Linked DNA regions of Notamacropus eugenii. The protein of the gene in region 1 binds, or shares a complex with, the protein of each later gene. Links are inferred from orthologs where the notes say so. Each region holds a gene or a part of one and is shown in the gene's direction. Other genes may lie near its edges.

The links.
Region 2: the proteins of NUP58 (region 1) and NUP54 are in contact, whole or in part, in a crystal structure (PDB 4JO7), measured with the Homo sapiens proteins. The link is inferred for Notamacropus eugenii from reciprocal best matches to the Homo sapiens genes NUP58 and NUP54. Residues at the interface, in NP_054808.1 of Homo sapiens: Pro342, Tyr345, Phe346, Leu349, Val350, Phe353, Gln356, Leu357, Tyr360, Gln363, Ile364, Leu367, Leu371, Gln374, Ser378, Ile392, Tyr393, Phe396, Leu399, Ala400, Leu403, Ile406, His407, Val410, Lys414, Tyr417, Tyr420, Arg421; in NP_059122.2 of Homo sapiens: Tyr453, Leu459, Glu462, His466, Leu467, Gln469, Gln470, Gln471, Gly473, Leu474, His476, Leu477, Ile478, Ile480, Ile481, Asp484, Leu485, Ile488, Lys489, Leu490, Val491.
Region 3: NUP58 (region 1) and NUP93 share a complex: the UniProt entries of both Homo sapiens proteins name them as parts of the p62 complex. The link is inferred for Notamacropus eugenii from reciprocal best matches to the Homo sapiens genes NUP58 and NUP93.

What each region holds. Positions count from the first base shown.
Region 1 is NC_092876.1:192,733,919-192,741,241, forward strand, and holds the start of NUP58 (nucleoporin p58/p45), read left to right. Parts: upstream 1-3,966; 5' UTR 3,967-4,206; coding exon 4,207-4,316; intron 4,317-7,323. UniProt on the Homo sapiens protein: Component of the nuclear pore complex, a complex required for the trafficking across the nuclear membrane.
Region 2 is NC_092878.1:151,163,046-151,170,400, forward strand, and holds the start of NUP54 (nucleoporin p54), read left to right. Parts: upstream 1-3,889; 5' UTR 3,890-3,986; coding exon 3,987-4,053; intron 4,054-4,437; coding exon 4,438-4,599; intron 4,600-5,046; exon of another isoform or gene 5,047-5,301; coding exon of another isoform or gene 5,302-5,380; intron 5,381-6,266; coding exon 6,267-6,350; intron 6,351-6,463; coding exon 6,464-6,595; intron 6,596-7,355. UniProt on the Homo sapiens protein: Component of the nuclear pore complex, a complex required for the trafficking across the nuclear membrane.
Region 3 is NC_092872.1:474,257,691-474,265,860, forward strand, and holds the start of NUP93 (nuclear pore complex protein Nup93), read left to right. Parts: upstream 1-4,760; 5' UTR 4,761-4,864; intron 4,865-8,170. UniProt on the Homo sapiens protein: Plays a role in the nuclear pore complex (NPC) assembly and/or maintenance. May anchor nucleoporins, but not NUP153 and TPR, to the NPC. During renal development, regulates podocyte migration and proliferation through SMAD4 signaling.

The sequences.
Region 1 (7,323 bases):
AAAAAAAAATCTATCTTGGGAGGGGAAGACCCTGAGGTTTTCTGGCCAAAACAGAAACAATTACTATTTACATTCACTCTGAGACAATCAGGGTCCAAACAATAACCAAGTGGGGCTTGGCCTGGGACCTATTCCTTGACAATCAATGAGAGCCAGAGTGAATTACGTTTAAGGCATTGTCCTTAAGCAAGAATTCTAGCCCTTAAATCCCAAGATATCTTGCTAGGTTTCAACCATCAAAATTTACATACTTTGGGCAAAGCACTAGCATATAAGGATATGATAACCCTAAGTGGACAGAGGGAAGGGAAAAAGGAAGGGAAAGGTTTAGGGAAGAGTAGAGGGAAAGCAAGGTGTGGAGGGAATTCTGGTTTTTATAATAATCAATATATGTGTAATGAATACACCAATAGATTTGATTTTGCAGAATTACCTTTTCTAGCTTGTGGGTCATTCACAATGCAGTTTGAACTCATAAATCAAACCTTGACAAGACTCAATCACTGGCATCCTTCTGCCTTCAGACCAAGCCTGTAGAACCTGTGACCCACTAAGTAATGACCCCCTGTAGCGTGGGTGAGATACCTACAGCAGGATATGCATATGCAGGTGTATTTTGAGGGTAAATTCGCAAAATATAAACTCTCTTCCTCAAAGATGAAACAAAGATAATTTATTCAGATACCAGAAAGCCAATTCCACCATAGTAACAATGAACTTTATACACATTACCAATAGAGAGCACAGCCATCCCCAAGCATTCCCTTGGTCAGGCCTCCCCACAAACAAGGCCCCTTAGGCAAAATGCCCCTCTCCCACCTAGGCTAGCTGCTCTGCTCTGACTGTTGTTGCCTCTCAGCTCCACCTTCCTCTCTTCCTGCTGTATCCTTCTTGCTCCACCCATTCAGCAAGCTCCTTCCACCATCAGCTCTATGAGACTCAAATTGTGGACTGGGCCAAAGCTCAAAGCAGGTCACATGGGCCTATTAAGGGGCAGGGAAGATTTTCAAATTCCCTTACCATTACACTCCCAAGACTTGGGCAGTGTTGCTCTTATAGGACTCCAAAATTGTGGGTTTATCCTGGGAAACTACTCTGGCCCTGGGAATGACTGTAATCCACCTTCTACTCTTCTACTCTTCCATCCCATTGGTGTTTTATGTATAGAATTTCTGTCATCACTTCAGCAAGGTGGAATTCTGATCAGGAGAATTCCTGATTTGCAAATCTACTCCTCATAATGAAACTAATTAATTAAATGGCTACCTGATTACTTGCACTTTGTCTCTAGTCTGCAGTTGCATCATTCTCAGATTAAAAAATGACTCAGTAAAATCCTGCTAACAAGGGAAAGGATGAAAGAAGGAAGGAGTTGCATTGTCCAACTGGAACCGGCCAGTTGGATCCCCAGTGAAGCAGCTTGGACTACTCACAAGTCACTGTTTATCCTTCATTCTCAAAGAGAACCATGACATCAGGAAGATGATGCTAGGACATGCAAATGAACTGGATTTAAGGGCTGTGCAAGGTCACCAGTCTCACTTTCTCCTCTGGAGCCATCTAGCCAGTGGCAAGATATAATCAAAATGACTGGAGATAGCCCTGAGGCTGGATGGGATAGTACAACAAAGGAAGTAATGTATAATCAGAGTGGACTGGTAGGTTGGGGTCAGGTTGTGAAGGACTTTAAAAAACCAAACAGAAGAGTTTATATTTTATCCTACTTACAATAGGGACCACTTAAGTTTATTGAGTAAGGGAATTACATCATTAGCTCTGCACTTAAGGATGATCAGTGGCATCTGAGGGAAAGAGGAACTGGATGGGTAAAGACTTGAAGCAGGGATAGCAATAAGGCAGTTTTTGCAATTGTTTAGCTGAGTAGTGATGAGGGCTGTTGACCTGAAAACTTGGTTAAAGAAAGGCAGCAGGCTAAATGCATACATTTTATGATTTAATTAATTAATTAATCAATTCCCTATTAAAGAAAACAGTTACATAATGCATTATGGAGCCAGAAATGTTCTGGCTACCCAGTGCAGAAATCTTCTGGCTTATATACATTTTGCCGTGAGAAAGGAACTCTCCTAGTTGAACAAATCATAAATTTAGTAAGACAAGACAATTAACAAAGTAATGTCAATCAAATGTTGAGATTCCAAGCTGGGTAAACATATGTCTTGGTGACAAGGAAGGAAATCCCACCCCAGATAACTGACACAGGAAGGGGCAAACAATGTTCAATAGAAATTATGACCTAAGATGTCTATATTTTCTTTACCATTAATATGCCATAACATAGTATGTGTCTATAGATAATAAGATACAAAGGAAAGACCCATTATTCAAGATATGTCATAGGTTAAAGGTCTCCAAGGAATGCAGAGTCAGCTTTGGCTGGCTTTTGCTGACATAGGAAGAGGCATTCTCTGAGTTTGCTTCAGAGAGAACAAAGAGATTATTCCAAAATTTTATATTAAACATTATCAGGGCCTAGACTAAGGTGGTGATTAAGAGTAGAGAGAAAAGGTTAGATGTGAGAAAAATGTTATAAAGGTAGAAATGGAAAGATCAAGCAACTCAATGGATATATGGGATGTGGGAGAGTGAGAAGCATTTCAACAGAAACAGTGAAGTTTGGAAGAAAGGTTGGTTTGGGGGAAAAGAGAATGACTACTATTTGGCACTAGAATTTAAGATGCCTACAAGATGCCTACATTTAAGATGCCTATCCAAGTTCAAAATGTCTAACAGGTAGTTGGTGATGTGGGACTAGAGATCCAGAGACTGCCTAGGGCTAGAACAGGGAGTTATCTGCATGGATGTTAAGGCCACTTGAGGAGCAAGAAGCTCCCTTTTCAATGGCTGTCCTCCAGGCAAGTAATGCTCTTCTACTTGATGTCCTCTATTAACTTATAAGCTTTTTTCTAGTCCCGGCTGAAATCCCATTTTCTTCAGAATGGCTTTCCTCTCTTAATTATCTCCAATTTATCTTGTATGTATCTGTTGCATATATAGTTGTATATATAACGTATATGTATGTGTATATATACATACATACACATACATGTATGTGTATGTATGCATGCATATATACATTTATATGTGTGTGTATATATATATATATATATATATATATATATATATATATATATATATATGTATATGGTTGTCTCCTCTATTAGACTGTGAGCACCAATAAAGCAGAGAATTTAATTGGTTTTGCCTTTCTTTGTATTCCCTGCACTTAGCAAGTGCTTAATCAATGAGAATTTTTTTTCTGGCCGTCCCCCAGGCATGGAACTCTCTCCTTCCTCCCCTCCCCCAATGGCCTCCTTGGCCATTAAAAGCTCCTCTTTTGCTGGAAGTCCTCCCCAGCCCTTCTTAATTCTAGCCACTCCCTTCTGGTATTTCCCATTCCTAGGCTTTGGATTAAGGGTTATGGAGCACCTTTCATTTTAGAACTGTCAAAAGGAGGATTCAGAAGGGCCAGATCCATAACGGAGGCCAGGCTTTCTATCCTAGCGAGTTTTTAAATTACCATTACCTCGCTCCTCAAAATCTTGGTAATTGTGCAAAAGTTCACTTACAGCCATTTTGACTCACTTTGTCCCCTCCTTTTTTTGTTTTAATAGGGACTGAAGTGGGCAACACCCACTAATTTATGACTTTGCCTCTTTTACTATCCCTGGCCGTAACACAACGTCTGGCACAGTGGGCGCTTAATCTTGATCGATGATTGATTGATTGGACCGCTCTGGGTCACAGCTTCCTCATCCGTAAAATGAGGTTTGAGTCAATGACACATAAAGTCCCTTCTTGTCTCTAAACCTGTGGTCCAACATTCTACCTGGGGCCCCGATGCCACATGTGCCCACGAAATCAATCACATTAAGGCGAAGGACAGGGCACTCATCGGAAGGGTGGCTCCGGACCGGCCCCTGTCCCTTTAAGACGCGCGCTGCTGACGTCGCCCGGCTTCCATCCCATGGTGCACCGCGGTGGCTCGGCCGGCTCCCGCGCGGCGGCGTGCGCGGGCCCAGGGGTTGCGGCCGCTCGCTCGCTCCTCTTTCCCGCCCCCTGGTTTGGACCGAAGTTCCCGCCCGTCCGCTAGCCCGGCCGGCCACTGTAGGGGGGATGCTGCGGGTTCCCCTTCGGCGCTGAGACGAGACACGAGGCCCAGGCCGCGGCTGGCCGGCTTCAACCATGTCCACGGGCTTCTCCTTCGGGACGGGGACGCTGGGCTCCGTGGGTACCGCCACGGGGGGCACCGGGACCACAGGAGGAGGGTTCTCCTTCGGGACGGGCACCTCCAGGTAAGCTATCTCCTCCCCGCCGCAGCCGCGCGCCCCTCGGCCCCGGCCCAGCTCGAACGCGGGAGCGTCTCGCGGGCCGGCCTCCCCACCTCCTCGGCCTGACGTCCGGCTCCTTTCTCGCCCCTCCTCCCAGGGCGGAGCCGGCGCCGCCCCTCCTTCCCCTCCCCCCTCGGAGGAGCCGCACTGTCCCCGCAGGGTTCCGCATCACCCAGGGGAGCTTCGCTCTTCTTCCTCGGCGGTCTTCACCTTGGGCTCTGGCGGCGCAGTGTGAGACCTCTGCGGGCTGCCGAGGGCTTGCGGGCGTGGAGGCCTAGGGATGGGGGCGAGGGGACTGAGCGCCGGATTAGAACGGCGGCTCTTTGTGTTTGCTTTTCTTTGTGAGCCCAGCGTTTGGGTAACACTTAGCCCGGTGCCCGGCCCGGAGAGAGCGCTTCTTCATCGTGGGCAGCGCCGGGGATACCGAGAAAGGGCAAAAAGTGGTCCCCAGAGACAGGTTCTTGGTGGTTCCAGGGGCTAGGGCCAGGATGCGTAGCCTTTTTTGTGCCCTTGGGCAGACTGGGGAAAGCTGTCGATTTCTTCTCAGAATGGTTTTACATGTGTAAAGTAAAATACACAGGAATGAATTTTTTCCACTCTCCAAGTTCACTTACACTTTGAAATCTGTCCTCAGATCCCAGGTGAAAAGCCTCTTCACTAGCAGATTGGATAGGGATTTGAATCCAGACTCTTTGGTTCTATATCAGATTCTGAAATTCTTAATATTAATGAAACTATTCTCTTAGTGGGTTTCATCGATGACTTCCAGGGCCCAGGAGCTTAGACTTCTTATTTGTACGGTGATCTTTCTAATTTGATAGATGTGTATAGAGAACTTCAAGCTTTGGAATTTTGAATACTTGAGTCCCAAGACCTACTGCTGACAGAGACTGGCGTTTTGACAAGTCACTTAACATCTCAGTGCCCTAGGCAGCTCTCCAGGAGTTTAAATTGAAGGGTAGGGTCTGAGTTTCCTATACCAATGAAATCATAGGTCCAGTCCCTACCCCTATATTAGGTGTAAGACAAAAAATAAAAAGGTATTATAATAATGACAATAGTTATCATTTATGCAGCATCTACTTTGGGCCAGTCACTATACTAAGGACCTTACAATTATTGCTTCATTTGATCCCCACAACAACCTTGGGAGGTAGGGCTGTTATTATTATCATTTGCATTTTACGGGCAAATAGAGGCTAAATAACTTGCACAGAATCCTCAGGGCTAGATTTGAACTCAGGTGTTCCTGACTCCAGGCTCACTGCTTTATTCACTGCTCCACTCTAGCTGCCTCCCATGAATAAATTGTTTAATATTTATCATTCATATTTTGCATGGCATAATGTTAATTTTACAGCATTTGGTATTTGTGATCCTTCTTTGTTTTTTGATGTTGTTTATAATATGTCACCACTGTATTCACACTTAGCTCAAACCTTAGACTTTGGAGTCATCTTTCACTCCCTGTCCAATCCATGATTTCCTGCTTCCCCACCACCAGATCCCATGCCATACCTTGTATATGCTTCTTGTATATCACTTATATTCTGCTTTATATTACATTTTAGACATGATTCAGGATCAATTTATATGTTGTAAGGCCTTGTCTAAACCAGTTGATCTACTATATTACATTTATTTGTTTAGGTGTCTTAATATGCCCTGTGAGATTATAGTTAGTTCCTTGGGGCCAGAGACTTAATACAACTTCTTCCATGAAGCCATGAGGTCTTATCTGATCTACCAGCTAGAAGTAGCTCCTTCATTTCCAGCTTCCTTTCTCTCTGATCTTTACTATGTATAGAGATTTCATAGAATACTAGAGCAGGAAGGGAGCTTAGTGATCTTCTAGTCTATTCTCATCCCTCTCCATAAAAAAACAGGCTCATTGAGGTTAAGTGACTCTCCCAAAGAGGTCACATAACCAGCAAGTACAGAACAGGTTTCCACATGCTTAGGCTAGTGCTGTATCCATTTGGTCTCTTTATTACATTCTAACCTGTTTTAGAGTTATCCTCCACGATCAGAATCTTAAGAGGGCATAGATTCATTTTTTTTCTTCCTTGTATCTCCAGCATTTACTGCCATTACTATTCTACATTTTGTTGCTCCTTGTTTTCAGTCAGATCTGACTCTTTGTGACCCTATATGGAGTTTTCTTGGCAAAGATACTGGAGTGGTTTGCCATTTACTTCTCTAGTTCATTTTACAAATGAAGAAACTGAGGCCAACAAGGTTAGGTAACTTTCCCAGGGCCACACAGCTAATAAGTGTATGAGGCCAGATTTCAGCTTGGGAAGATGAGTTTTCCTGACTTCAAATAGAACTCTGAATGCCTAGGTGTCCTTTTCTACTATATTCTGCAGAGCAAGTGCATAATACGTGTTCTTGAATTATCCCCTTTTGTTTTCTCCATAATGATTTGCCCATAGATATTCACTGAATAGATTTTGGTTGAATAAATACTAGAATTTTACCCAAGTTTAGACTGGAATTATTTACATTGTCTTTAGAATGCAAAATGTAAATTATTGGTTTAGCACCTATATTGAGACCACAACTAGACCTATGATTTCACTGGTATAAAGAACTGTCAGATGAAGAAATACGTACCAATGTAGGTCAACATTTTCTTTGCAACTTACGGCCTTGAGAGAGTTACCTGGAGCAGGGCTTCTTAAATTTTTTCCACTCAAGACCCCTTCAGTGCTTCTTAAAGCGCATGATATGGGACCACAGTTTAAGAAACACTGGCCTAGAGCATTGAGAGGCCAAATGATTTATCAAAGGTCACACAGCCAGAGGCAGCATATAAACTCAGGTCTTCCTCTCCAATTACATCTGTGATGCCATCTATTTAATAATTTTGTTCAGTGAGTTCTGGTTGCTTCAGATAGAGAGCCAGAAAAGGACCATAGTCAACTGAAATCAAAGTGATGGTCCCTAAAGTTAGAATTCTGAATCCTAA
Region 2 (7,355 bases), on another chromosome or scaffold:
ACACCATGTCAAGGGTATTTAGAGAACCTCTGTCTCTACAGGGAATCTGTCTTCTTTGAGATTGCCCAGGTTCAGAACTGACACATCTGATAAGAGTATATATCCCTCTTTCATTCTTTTCTTGATATTAATATTCAGAAAACTATTAAACAAGATCATCTCTGTTACAGCTTTCAAGAACTTTAGGCCTTTTGATGGAGAACCTTTGAAAGGTGTCATTTTGTTCAGCTCAATGTGTCCTCCTCAGACACAGCTCACTCTGGGAGGTGGTGAGCAGTATCATCTCTTAAAAGAGGTAGAATCAGTAGAGAAGAAAACAGACTTACAGGAAACCTGCAAGATCCAGCCAAGCCCAATTAGTTTCATCTTCAAATGCCTTCTGGATGACTTGGCTTAGATGGGTCTCTCACTAGGCTCTCTCTCCATTACTCATCATTTACCTCTTTAAGATTTTACAACCAAGATTTTGCATTTACAAATGTAATGAGGTCACATTTTGTGATGTGCCCCTGTTAATTTGGAGGTGGAAGAGACGCCATCTTCAATTTCTTTGCTCATTTATGAGACATCTCATTGTTTTTTTGTTTTGTTTTTTTTTACAAGACCTGAAATCAAATGAAGCAAATACATTGAGAGCATCTCCCTTTACAGAACAATCTGTGGTTGACCCCTAAACAATTGAAGCCAATTAAGAATACATGCTACTCATTGGTAACTCATGAGAGAGTGGCCTTAAACCCTGGCATCAGCAAAAACTGTGTTTCCCTTCTGCCTCTAACACATAATGGCTATATCACCCTGGGAAGGTCCTTAATCGCTCAGGGTCCCAAGCAGGCCTCTAAACTGCAGAATGGTTTGCACTGGTAGAGGGGGTTACCTATATCAATGAAACAAATCATAGGTCAAAGTCTTTACAAACCTTAGTCTTGTCAACATCACAGGGAATTAAATGGCCAGTGTTATTCAACTCATTTTGTAGCTGGAGGACTAGTCAATAGAACCCAAATCTCTTGGCTTTGCAGCTCCAGAGCTTAGCACAGTTTCTGACACATAATACGTGCTTACTACATTTTATAGACTGACTGACTGCTGTGGTTGGTTGCTGCCACTTGACTTTTCTTGTCCTTGAAAGGAAAAACCATTAAAAAGCCAAATAAAATAGTTAGCCACTGCTGGGGCTTTTATTTGAAAATATGGTTGATTTTAAAAATTAAGCTGGTTATTGAGATTTGCTCTTTATAACAGAAGGGGATCTTCAACTTTGGCCTGTCATAACTCTCCCCCCACTTTTTAACTACTCTTCCTTTCTTGCTATTGAAGAAGATATTCAGAATACTACACATTTAGTTTTTACAATGGACTCATTTAATGTGATTCTAAGAATGCTTGTTTCTACTTTAAAAATAAAATGTTTCACTAATAAAGTTATCATTTTTACAAAACTGAATCTAGAAGTTTTTGATGGCACCCATGACTAGGTTTTGACTATTTGTTCTAATGGTAGTTAATCCCAGAAACTCCAAAGGAATCAGAGAAAAGTTGAAAGGAAAGAATGGGGAACGTATTTGTTCTTCCTTGGGTTTCCTTGTGTCCAAAAGTTTGTTTGGGCGTTTTCAGTGTGAAAACATTTGGGAAAAATCTGTGGCCTACTCATTGGATCTGACAACCAAAATCATAGATTGTTTTTTAAATCCTCGCAACCTCATAATGTAGCATCACTTCATTCATTCGCTAAACAATTTCTAATTATCTCCTGTTTGCTGAGAACTATGGTAGGCAGTCTCAGATATATACAGAGTTTAGGCAAAAGACAGTCCTTGTACTCTTAGAGCTTAGAGTACAGATATTACAGGGAAGGGAAAGGTAATAAGTATTTATTATACCTACTATGTACCAGGCTGGGTATCTATAGTACTACAGAAATATTATCTCATTAGATCCTCACAACAACCCTGTGAGGTACAGTTATTAATGCTATTGTCCCCATTTTACAGTTGAGGAAACTGAGGCAAACAGAGATTAAATGACTTGCCCAGGGTCACACAGCTAGTAAGTGTCAGATGCTAGATTTGATCTCAGATCTTCCAGGACCAGTGTTCTATCCGCTGTGCCACCTAGCTGCCTCCAATAATTTAGGGGGGGATGATACAAATAAAAAACCAGTAAACAAAACTGAGCAGTGGTCAGAAAGGTAGGATGAGAACCAGGAAAGAAAAGGGTCAGGAAAACCTAGAAAGGAAAGGGCTCCAAGGAGAACTGTCAAACGCTCTAGTAGGGTCTGTAAAGTGGAAATTTGTGCCAGTTAAGACATCTTTGTTAACTTTGTCAAGAGCCCTTGTTAAAGATCTTTGTTAACTTTTCAGTTGCATGAAGAGAATGGAAGCTATATTGCAGTGCATTAAGAAGTGAGAGAAAAAGTGGAGGCACCTAGTATAGAGGGTTTTTAAAAGGGTAATATTTATGTGATACGATCTGAGGTCTAGCCTGTCTCTTGGAGAAGAGCTAAGGCTATATCTCTACCACCAGCACTCTAGCTGGGGGACAAGGGGCAGGGAAAGACAGAAGAGGTAAGCAGTCCTCAGGAGTGAAGCCAAGGCTGAATGCTCTTTCAGAAAGAAACGTCTTTGAACATATAGATTAAAATGATATTCATCTGATACCTGGAAAATATTTCTGGCCTAGGGGCATAATGGGTTCTGATCAAAAGTTGCTTCCCTGATTCTTCTTATGGGGGGAGATAGCCACTCACGAACCTGGCTCCTTCCCACCACATGCTGGGGACCCAGAAAACCATCACAGCTCTCAGAATTCTCCAGTAAACGAATTCATGAAAGGAGAGTTATCCAGCAGCAGCAATAGCTGCTGGCTGCTTCTGCCCACCTCAGTCCATCCTCGAGCCCCTGGAGAGATTTTCCTAAAATTCAGGTCTGATCATGTCACCTCCCTACTGCCTCCAGGAACAAATGCAAACAACCGCTTGGGAAAGATCTCAGCAAACCTGCAACTCTAGGGGTCCAGGTAAAGTTTCTCTAGGATGCTCTACAGGGAAGCACGTGCCCAGCCCTGGGACCAGGGCGGGCTTAGGGCGTGGCTAAGGAGGGGCTACTTCTTAAAGGAACAGGCACTTCTGGTATCTCCTGCGCAGCTACTTTACCCAGAGTTCATCGGGAACGAGCGAAGGGCGGGCTCCATGGAGGCGGGGCTTTAGACCTGAACCGCCCACAAACGGTCAGGACTGCCCCCATCAGTGCCCGGTTAGACGAGATGACGTAAGGGAGCAGGCCCACGTCCGAGCCTAGGACACACAGACGTAGGCGCCAGGTCAGGCACGTGACCCGATGACCCAGGCACGGCGAGCTGGATGGGGGAGAGAACGGGCGTTGGTTTCGAGCCGGGGCCCAAGCAGGGGGCACCCCAGCACCCCGGCACCGGGAGCGCCCCGCCCCCTCTCCACCGCCGAAATCGGGCGTCCGATGAGCCCCGCCCCTGCATGGGGAGGGGAAGAGCTTCCATAAAGGTCTCTAAGACCCAATCACAAGCTGATCCCAATCCGCGGGGGAGGGGAGGGCTCTGGGGCGCGCTTTCCCCCTCTTTCCTCTTTGTCTCTTTCGCATTCTTTGTTCGCACGAGGGCAGAGAAGGAAACCTTCGGGAAGGAGGACGGGAGAACAAAAGGCAGGGACAAACCCCCAAAGATCCCCGCGGAGACCCTGGGGGGGCGGGAGGAGGAAGGTACCAGTTTCCAGGATTTGCCCGGGCCGGCTGAAGGATTCACCGTGCGCATGCGCACTCTCCCCGCGCCGCGCCTCGCGTAATACTTCTCGGTGACGTCACAGACGCGACGCGGGCTTCCTCCGAGGCCCCGCCCCCCCCGCCGCCACCTGCCGCTCCGGGAACCCTCAGGCTTCGGGTTGCCGCTGCTCGGCCGGACCCTTCCACTGGTTGCACCGAGCGCCCCGTGAGAGCCGCCGCGGCCCCGGCGGCGCCATGGCCTTCAACTTCGGGGCTCCCGCGGGCGGCACGGCCACGGCCGCCACCCCCGCCGCTCCCGCGGGTGAGTGTGCAGAGCGGGGGCGGGGCGGGCTGGGGAGATCCGCCGGGGACCCCTCCCGAGGGCCGCCCAGGCCTGCCCGGCCCCGCGTGGGTGCGCCCCCAGCTGAGGGCGGGGAGGGGACCCTCGAGGGCCAGCCGGGCGGGGGTCTTCAGCGAAGAGATTCAGGGTCCCCCCCGCCCGGCGCCCGACGTCCTGGGGGAGAAGGGGAGGGGGGACTCCCGCTTGTTTGGGCCGGCGCCCCGCCCCCCCGCGGTGCTCTGCAGTGGGGAGCCGGGGCCTGCCCTCGGGGAGCTGCCCGTCGGACCGGACTCTGCGATGCTTACGTGCTTTCTTTTCTCTCTCTCTCTCTCTCTCCCTCTCCCCCTCCCCTTCCCCGCCCGTCAGGATTTGGTGGGCTGGACGCCGCCAGCTCCACCAACAGTGGGTTTAATTTTGGGGGTTTCGGCTTAGCTGCCAATCCTGCGGTGAACTTTAATATTGGGAATTTCGGCGTTTCCACCAGCGCCGCGGCCCCCTTCAGTTTTGGTAACCCTCTGGCCAGCGCAGGTAGAGAGCCCCCCGTCACCTCGTGGATGGCCTAGCAGGACTCCAAAAATGCGCTGCCCCTCCCCCCGCCCAGCAGGGGTGCCCTCGGGCCGCCCCTCCCCCCACCCAGCAGGGGTGCCTGCAGGCCGCCCCTCTCCCCGCCGGATTGGGCCCGGTGGTCCCGGGGGGAACCCCGAACCCCCGTCCCCGCTGTGGGCTTGTCATCGAGCCAGCCCCCGGAGCCCGCCCCCCCATTCTTGGACTCCTGCGGCCATGTGTCATCGTCCGTCCGTCCGTCCATCCATCCTCCCTTGTCATCCGCGTGCTGTCCTCAGAAGCCGCAAATCGCACAAAACAGCCCCTTCCCTCCGTGTCTGAGCCCGTCAGGAGGGATTGGGTTAGACCCAGACACCGGGTTCTGAGAGCAGCCGCCGGGCCGCGTGATGGGCAGTTGTGGGTCTAACTGGCAGAAGGGCGCGCACAGGTGTGTGTGTACCTGCCAGGCGTTCGGCTGCTTGGACATAAACTGAGTGTTCCGTGCTCTTACCTGGCGTGATCGGCAGCTTCGTGCCCTCTGCCAATTTAAGAAGTTGCCTTCAGAAATGTGTTTGCTGCTTACAGCTAATTTTTGGATAATTCTTTAAATTATTTTGCGAATCCCACGTTGTACGAGCCCCACGTGTTCAGGCCATCCTGTGCCTAACTTTGAGCAAAAAATTTAACATGAAAAATGACAGAAAATTTCCTGGGACACAGAAGTCATGCGTTGTATTCTTCCTGTGCTGTTTTATTAAATTACAAAGTACTTGCGTTCTTTTTAATTCCTTCCAACAAGTATTGGTTAAGCATGTGTACTGGTTGAAGGCACTGTTCGGGTGCTGGGGATTCAAAGATGAACAGGCTGCTCTCAGGGGGCTTACAGTCTAATGCTGTAATACCGTTTTACATGTTAACAGTAGAGGAAAATGGAGTTTTGTGTGTGATTTGTGCTTCTGAATAGAGCTACAACTCGGCAAAAATAAATGACAGTGTTAATTATGGTCTATTTTATAAAATGATTCATTGTTTATCTAAAAACACTGGCATTTCCATTTTTATTGATCACAGTCCATGTGTTATCAAATCACTTACATCACTATCATATTTGTACAATACTTCGCTATTTTTTTTTTTACCATTGACAAATATAAACTAAATTAACTGTTCAGCTTCTTTTATGCTGTGGTAAGTACGTGAAGTAAATCCTCCATTGATGATAAATTGTGCCCTACTGAGCCCTTTAATTATACCTTTAGAAATACTTTTTTACTCGAAATTTCAAAGTATATTCTTGAACTTTGCATATTGAAATGGAGGTCTTCAGCCTAGTGTATCTTGCTGAATTTTAAGTGTTGGAACCAAAACAAGTGAGAATTTGGCCACATATGAGATGTTTGTTAAATTGTCAGCATCTAAAATACTGTCAGGATTTTTTTTAAAAGATCTTTTTAATGTTCATACATGCATGTCTATAATATGTACACACAATATACATGAGATTCTTTTATAAAACAATGTACTGGAATGTTGATGTCAGAACATTTTTATAAAATAGCTTACAGACCCCAGGCTAAGAATAGGGCCGCTATTTAACAGCAAGAGCACACTCCTAACCATAGTGTCTCCATGTTCTTTCTTGTGATCACTAGGCACGTTTGGAGGATTTGGGACGACCACCACCACGGCAGGTTCTGCATTCAGCTTTTCTGCTCCTACTAACACCGGCACAAGTGGTAAGAGCCCAGACTGGACAGAGTTAACGATAGAACTAAACAGCCTTGATTCGGGCTAGTTGGGCAATTGCGTCTTTGGTGACACTTTTGTAAACCCGATTTTTTCTTCAAAGGACTCTTTGGTGCTACTCAGAACAAAGGTTTTGGATTTGGTTCTACTGGTTTTGGCACAACTGCAGGAACCAGTACTGGTTTGGGAACCGGGCTAGGATTTGGAACCTTCAGTACCCAGCAGACTCAAAATAGTAAGTATGAGAAGGTTGTTTTACTCCTTAAAAATTCGTGTCAGGTACTGTGTTCTGAGAAATCAGAATTTAATCCTGAACTGTTTGCTCATTTCATACTTTTCCTCATTGTATGACCTCTGTCATATGGACTCAACATATTTGTGTTATCCCCCTTTAACTGGGCCGTCCTCATAGTTAACCCTTTTATTGCTCCTTAGTTGATTCCCCTTCTCACTCTGCAAGTTTCTGAACCTTTGCTTCTCTCTCCCCCACCCCCACCCCCCTTCCACGCTCTCTGCTGAGGACCTTGCCTCTTCCTTTGCCAAAGGGTCATTTTCTTCCCCTCAGAACCCCTGGATGGCATCTTCTGCCTCTTTTCCCTGTTCTCTGACAAAGAAGTGACCCCTCTCCCTGCCCAGGCCAGCGATTGTGCTCATGACCCCCTGCTTCTCTGTCTGTCTTGCAGATTACACCTTCCATCATCCCCTCATCTCTCAAACCTTTAGCCTCTTCTTATCACCTGGGTCCTTCACTGCTGGTCTCAAATGGGCCCAAGTCTCTTCCATCCTTAAATATGCACCTTATGATCCCCTTGGGTTGTCGTCCTCTCATCCTCTGTCTCTCCTCCTCAGCCAGACTCATTCAAAAGGCTGTCTATACTTACTGCTCCTGCTTTTCTCCTTTGAGTTCTAGACCCTTGGCAGTGAAGTTTCCAACCTCAGCTCTCAATTAAAACCTTTCTCACAGTTACTAGTGATCTCTAAATGGCCAGTTCTGA
Region 3 (8,170 bases), on another chromosome or scaffold:
GGATATTCTTAGAGTTTGCTTTGCTTTGAACTAATCCCTCCCTTAATCTACCCTCTTTCTAATTCCTCCTTCTCCCTTCTCCCCTTTTCTTCCTATTTCTCTGCTGGGTGAAATGTATTTCTATTCTCAACTGTACATATTTCTTCCTTTCTTTGACTAGTTTAAGTGAGAGTGAGGTTCAGTGCCAGCTGCTTTCTTCCTTGTTTGTGTAGACCAAATATGTGAGATAATTTCCACCTAATCTTCCTTTCCTTTCCTCATCCTAGTATCATTTCCCCCTACTTTTCCATTTTTCTTTTAAGATAATCAGGACATAACAGAATCATTTCAAGACTTTCTGTTTAATTAGACTCCTCCTATGAACCCTGATAAGATAGTGTTCAGAGGAAACGCAGGCCTCATCTTTCCATATTAGAATGTAAGCAGAGACAAATGATTGAGATACAAGAGTCAATAGGTCTTGACAGTCACCTGAGGGGACCTTTCATATGTAAGCTTGATAAAGATTGTATGTCTTACTAAAAGAAAAAAATGGAAAGTACTCCTATAACCCAAAGGACTCAAGAATCTCATTCTGGGAGAGCTTTAACACTTTCCTGGGAAGAGATAGAGAGGAGTGGATGACAGGTGGAAGCAGAATGGCAACCGACCTTGAAGTGTTTAATAGGACTAAGAGATGGGAGTGACACTGAGCATTACCGTGTGGAGCTGGAGGTAGCAGTAATAGAGTGAATATTGAAGAGTTCAAGGGTTAAGCAGGAACCTCAGAATCAAGAACTGGAGGAGAGACCAGAACCAAATTGCGAGAGCTACACCAGGAATAAGCAAATCTGGACCTTTCCTTCCACTGGTATTGTGAGTCATAAGTACTGTAAGGTGCCAGGTGGAGGATGGTGCGTGTGTGTTTGTATGTGTGTGTGTGTGTGTATGTGTGTGTGTGTGTGTGTGTGTGTGACTATTAGCTACCTAAATTATTTTGTTGGGGCTCTATATCACAATAATGTTATAGAATTTGTGGGGAAGGTGGGAAAGTAGAACTCTGCATAGAACAAACTTTTCTAGACTGGCTTGAGTATGAATTCTAAATGCATTTGTCATTGTGGCAATTAACTTGTTCTGTGTTCTATACCTGGCTAGCCTGCGTCCTTGGAGGAGAATTGAGTGTCCCTAAAAGTGAGGTAGAAATGAATTGGATCCACATGGTCTGAAGGTTTCCCTGGGTGGGCACATGAATCAAAAAATTACTGAAAAGCTTCCAAGATTGATCTCAGTCTCTTTGAGCCCAGAGGTATGGATTCTGGACTACAGATTACAAAAAACAAAGATTGCCATATTTTACAATTATTTGGTATTTTATATTTTGCAAAGCTCATTGTCATAACATCTAGTCAAGTTTGAGGGCAGAAGAGAGTAGGAAAGAAACAGAAATGAAACTAAGTTAAATACCTTTTTTATACAAAACTTTGGAAGAAGACTAGCCTTTTTTCTGGATATGTATGGGAGGTATATGTAGATATAAATGGATATTTCCCATAATGCCTGGGTTACAAGGTTTGCTGGAAAGAAGAAAGTCTGGAAGGGGACTTTAGGGGATACAGGGAAGATTAGTATCATAGAACTGATTGGACAAGGAGATATATTACTCAACCTAGTGACAAAGAACAGTTGAGCCAGAAACAGCATGGGCCCCACAACAATCTGTGCTGTACAGAAAGGCAAGGGCAGGACTGGCGTCTGAGATAGGTGTATGTTGGAAGCATGGATGCCAGAGGAAATGAGGAACACAGCCAAGATTCCAAGTAGGCCACAAGAAGAAACACAATTGTTGCATTCCCAAGGTTCCCAGCTCTTCCCATACAACTAGAATTTCCCCTATGATGTTGTGAGTTTTGCTTCTGTGGTTACAAACCAATCTTTTCAAAGAGGAAAAATAGACATGTTTCCTTCCTATCCAGACTCCGAAATGAATCCTGTTTCTGTTTTCCACGTTTTGTAAGAAACTATTCGTATTCATATGTTTATCAAAAGGTTCTTTGTGGGTGGGGAGGGTGAAAGTAGGTGCTGGGAAAGGAAGATCTGACCATAGCAAGTGGAGACCCAATTTCAGATGTCCGTAGAGAGACCTCTTGGTGAGACAAGCCAAAGGCATATTAATTTTTAATAGAGAGAAATTCCTCAAGATTGAACCTAATTTGCCTGGTAATAGGAAGAGTGTGTTAAGAAGCCCCACCAGGGGTCCTAGAAACCCTGATTTTATTTCATGGGTTATATAGCTAAAAGGCCCTGGGATATTAAGGATGTTTAACTGTTTTCTTAACTAAATGAGACACCAAGAAACAAGTGTCATTCATAGCCTGGATCTTTATTATTATTATTATTTTATATTATTGTTATATTATTTATAATATAATATAATAATTATACATATATATAAATATATATGGGGGTAGCTAGGTGGTACAGTGGATGGAGCACCAGTGCAGGAATTAGGAAGATCTGAATTCAAATCTCACCTCAGACACTTGACACTCACCAGCTGTGTGACTTTGGGCAAGTCACTTAACCCCAATTGCCTCATCCTGAGTCATCTCCAGTCATCCTGATGAAAATCTGGTCACTGGATTCAGATGGCTCTGGAGAAGTGAGGCTGGTGACCTGCACAGCCCTCCCTCACTCAAAACAAAGTCAAGGGCAAGTCATGTCATTTTTTCTCTGATGGCATGGTCTTCTTCAGCAAGGAAAGACGAACACATTCTGCATTCTACATTGTACATTATATTATATATAATATGTAGTAATAATATATTATTATATTAACTTTATTATCACCATATTTTTCCCTAAAGCCAATCTTTAATTTTTTTTATTCATTCATTATAGGTGTGTCCTTACTTTAAGACAAACAGAGGTTTCTATTTGGATTATCTCACTCATAGTGAGGAAAAGCCTTGTTGGTACAGGCTCTGCTCTGTTCCTCTAAATTCAGGGAAATGCTATAGACATAGTTTATCTAAATTTCACAAAATTTTTAACAAACACTCCCACCTTCTCTTTGTAAAAGAAAGATAAGGGCTAGATCAAGGCTGGGGAACCTGCAGCCTTAAGGCCTCATGTGGCCTTCGAGGTACACAAGTGAGACCTTTAGACTGAATCCAAACTTCATAGAACAAATCTCCTTAATAAAATGGTTTGTTCTGTAAAACTTGGATTCAGTCAAAAAGCTGCACCAGAGGACCTAGAAGGCCACATGTGGCCTTGAGGCTGCAGGTTCCCCACCCTTGGGCTAGATGCTAATTATGTTAGGGATTTAGAAGTAGGTGAATGACTGAACTCAAAAAATAATCATTAATGGGTTGATATTTACTTAGAGAGAGCTTTCTAATGGACTGCCAAAGACTGTCTGTATTCCTCAACATTTCTATCAATTACTTGAAAAAATGCATAGGAAAGAAAGGAAACATGAATATATGAAGAGCCTATTATGTGCCAGGTACTGTGCTAAGAGTTTTACAAATATTATTTAATTTGATCTTCATAAGAACTTTGGAAGGTAGGTGCTTCCAATCTTGCAGTTGAAAAAACAGGCAGAAAGAGGTTAAATGATTTGCCTAGGATCACAGGCTAATAAGTGACTGAGTCCAAATTTGAACACAGGTGTTCATGACTCCAGTCCCGGGGCTCTATCCACTGCTTTACCTAGTTGCCATAATAACCACAAATCCCATGTGTATCATATTTGCAGAGGACACAAACTTAGGAGGGATGGCTAACACATTTGACGACAGGATCCAAAAGGATGGGTCTTGATAGCCCGGAATGGTAGGCTGAGTCTAATCATTTGAAACACTGTAACAATTAATGTAAAACACCAGACATTCAAAGCTGTTTTAAATGCACTTCACCAGGTGCAGCACGCAGGGAGCTGAACTTGTGGTCAGGAAGACTGAGCTGAAGCTCCTCCCCAGACCTTCACTGCAGGACCCTGAGCCAGCCACTTCATGCCTTTCTGTCTCAATTTCCTGTAAATTCTGTAAGTGGGGATAACCACGGTGCCTTCCTGGTAGACTAGGATTATTCACTTAATTCCAGCGCCTGCCTCCTGTTAATCATTTCTTACCTATCTGCCAGGCTGCTTGCCCTGCATCTGCCTGCATGTCAGCTGCCCCATCCCAGGGAAGCTCAGGACAGCAGGCACCGTCACTAGCCTCTTTTTGCACCTCCAGAGCTTAGCCCAGCACGGGGCACATGGTAGGCCCTGAATAAATGTTTACTGAACTATCATAAAGATACAAGGAGGTAAGGCTGTCAAGGCTCTTTGCAAACCTTGAAATGCCATGTAAAGGCTGGCTGTTAGGGGACATTATTATCATTATTGTTCATTAACACAGATACAAGATGTGGAGGCTTGGCTGGGCAATAGTAGAAGATCTAGGGGCCCGGGTGGACTGCAAGCTCAGGTCAACAGCAGGGCATGACAGCCAGAAAGCTCAATGGAATCTTGGGTTGTATCGACAGGCATAAAGCCCGGGACGCCGATTCCCAAGAGTTAGGAGGGGCTATCTGGGCCAACCCGTCCCTGAAGAGGAATTCCCTCCACAACCAACTGGTCGCTCGGTCTTCACGTGAGGACCTGCGGCTCGTGGCCCGTTAGCCCAGGCTTGGCACGCCAGGCGCGGCTCCCCACCGCGCGTGTTCTTGTCCCTGAGCGCCCTCTACCAATAAAGTTAATTTGGCGGAGAGTGCCGCGCGGAGGCTGCTGGGTAAGGCTCCTTCCGCCAATCAGGAAGCGGCGGCTCCCTCCCGCCTCGTTCCTGCTCCTTCTCCGAGCCGGCTACGGCGGCAGCGGCCGCGGCTCCAGGGCCAGGTAAGGAAGCCCCCGGCGGCCCGCCCTCCATCCCGGGCTGCCCCAGGGCCGTGCCGGCCTTGCGCCCCACCGGAAATAGCGCTCCTGAGGTGTTCCACCGCCCCCGGCCCTGCGCCCGCCCGCGCTCAGACCTCCCCGTCCAGCCCGGGGTCACGCCCCACAATCCCCCCTCTGCAGGCCGCCCGTGCCTGGGTGGGGTCGCGTTCAGCGTCGTCCCCACCCTAGGCTTGGCTGGGTGCCCAGCAGAGCCCCCCAGAAGAGCTCCCGCCGCCCCAGTACGCTTCATCTCGTCAGCCAGGCCTCTGCCCTCCCATCCGCCACCCCATTCTATTACGGAGTCCGGCTGCCTGGAAGCCCCTGCTCCCTGTGCTCCCTGAGGGCTGCTTTGCCTTCTCTCCGCTACAGAGAAAGGCTCTGGAGCACAGCGGGGTTCACGGTTTCCAGCGACTCTGCCATCCCTTCTCTCCTCCCTCCAGACCCCTGGGTGCAAAGGCCAGGCAGCTGCTGTCTGAAGTATGAACTGTGCTTCCCAGGAGGCACAGAAATTAAGTCTGGAAGCTGCTTTAGAGCAGTCTAGGCATGGGGTCCTAGGGCTGAAAGAGACCCGGGAGGTCTAGGCTAAGCACCTCATTGTACAAGTGAAAAGTCTGAGGCCGAGGTTCCTGATCACACAGCAAGCAAGAGGCAGTTCCTCTAATTACAAATCTAATGCCCTTTCCACTGCCGTACTCCTTCCCCAACCCTTTTATTTTATAGGTGGAGAAGCAGGCCTAGTGGAGGGAAATGATTTGCCCATGATCTCCTGTCTAGTCGGTGAAGAAGCATTTATTAAGTGCTTGCTATGTTCCAATCAATCAGTAAGCATTCATTAAGTGTCTACTCGCCAAAAGGCACTGGACTAAGACTTAGGGATGCAGAAAGAGGCAAAAGACAGTTCCTGCCCCTGAAGAGTTTATAATCCAATGAAGGTGACAGCATATAAATGCAAAGCAAACTATATACAGGATAAATAGATAATAGAGGGAAGGCACTAGAATTAAGGGTAGGCTTTCTGCAGAAGGTGGGATTTTATATGAAAATTGAAATCAGGGAGGTCAGTAGTTGGACTGGAGGAGGGAAAGTGTTTCAAGCATGGACGGCAGTCAGAGAAAATGCCTGCAGCCAAGAGCTGCAGTGACTTTTTCATGGAATAGCCAGGAGTTAATGGCAATGGATCAAAAAGTTTGTGTAGGGAGGTAGATATAGCTGTCCTTTCTGCTTTCAGTGGACCAAAGTGATATCACTACGTGAGGGTCAAGACACAGTGTGTGGGACTGTGGCTGATTAGACCAGTAGGAGCTTGGGAGCTACCACAGGTTAGACACAAATATTCCAGTCCATATGAACGTTTGGAGTGGAGATATCCCTAAATTTGTGCATTTCACATTTTTTTTTGAGCTTCTGAAATTCCTTGCTCATAGAATATAGTATCTTCTTTGATTTGGGCATGCTTTGCTCGGTGGTCCTATGCCAGTGTCTCCCATGGAGTAAAGTATAAGCAGATTGGAAAGGTAAGAGGGGTCTAGTCAGGGGTGGGGAACATGCAACTTCAAGCCATATGTGACTTTCTAGGTCCTTAGGTTGAGGCACTTTAAATCCAAACTTCACAGAACAAATCCCCTTACTAAAAGGATTTGTTCTAGAAAACTTGAACTCAGTCAAAAGGCTGCACGCAGGGACCTAGAAGGCCATATGTGACCTTGAGGCTGCTCTGTGTTAAATCATCTTTGAGCCTTATCTGTAAAATAGGAGGTAGTAATGTGTTCTATCTAGAATACTGTTTTTTGTGAAGGCAGATAATGTGATTGATTTAAAGCTTGATGTTCCCCTATTGTGGTATAAGAAATGATGAACAGGAAGACTTCAGAGAGGCCTGGAAAGACTTATATGAACTGATGCTGAGTGAAAGGAGCAGAACCAGGAGAACTTTGTACACAGCAACAACCACAGTGTGCGAGGAATTTTTCTGGTAGACTTAGTACTTCATTGCAATGCAAGGAATTAAAAAATTCCCAATGGACTCTTGAGGCAAAATGCCTTCCACATCCAGGGAAAGAACTATGGAATTCGATCGCAGAATGAAGCAGACCATTTTATATTATGTTTTGTTTTGTTTTATGATTTCTCCCATTCATTTTAATTCCCCTCTGCAATATGACTAAGGTGAAAATGTATTTAATAGGAATGTATGTGTAGAACCTATATAAAATTGTATGCCATCTCAGGGAGGGAGGGGAAGAAAAATCTAAGACATATGGAAGTGATTGTAGAACACTGAAAACAAAATAATTTAATTTTAAAAAATATTTCACTTTTTAAGAAAGAAAGAAAAAAGCTTGATATTCTCATGTAAAGTATAGTTAGTGGGGTTTTTTTGTACATTGGTCTTTTCAGGAAAAGCAGTTCATATTTGTTTACATCATCCAATACAATGAATATAATAGTATGTAAACTCCTTGAGGACAGAGCTTGTCTCATTTTTGTTTTTATATCTTCAATGCCTGGCATACAGTAGGCATTTAATAAATACTTCTTGATTGGTTGTGTTCAGAATGAAAGGTGGCTCCCTATCTTAAGGCTTCCTCTGATTTTTTAAGTGTCTAACAGACACTTGGACTTTTGTGTTTGTCACACTTTGTCAGTTTGTCACACTTCACATACCAGATAATAAATAGCAAACATGTTGAAATTTACAAAGTGCTTGATGCACATTATCTCATTTTATCATTACAGCAGCCTCTGAAGCTGGTAATAACAATATAAGGGTAAGTGTCCTGACCACATTCTAAATGAGCCTCAGCGGAACGGTTTTGGTCGGCTTAGTCAGCCAAGGCGATTGACGAGATGTAGCATCTTATTGGACAGGTAGGGTAGAGAAGAGTATGAGGTGGAGGTCCTCTGGATGCAATCAGATTTCAATATTGTTCACACACCTTTTGTATTATTGCTTCTTTTCCTCTGCTCCTATATCTACAAAATGTAGATTTATATTTATGCCTTATGGTATTAGGGACCACGATGTAGAAAAGGAGACATACATAATCAGTTAAACTATCAATCGTTTATTATGTCCCAGACATTGTGCTGTGTGTAACTGGATTAGATCGAGGAGAAATCAGTCATAGGACCATGGGTTTGGAGATGAAAGGGACCTGGGAGGTTGTCAAGTCCAGTGGTTCTTTGCCTTTTTTGTGGATGCTGTGTTCTGCAGGAGAACTTTTCTGACTCCACCAGTTGTTAGTGTCTTTCCTCTCCCTCTTTTCTATT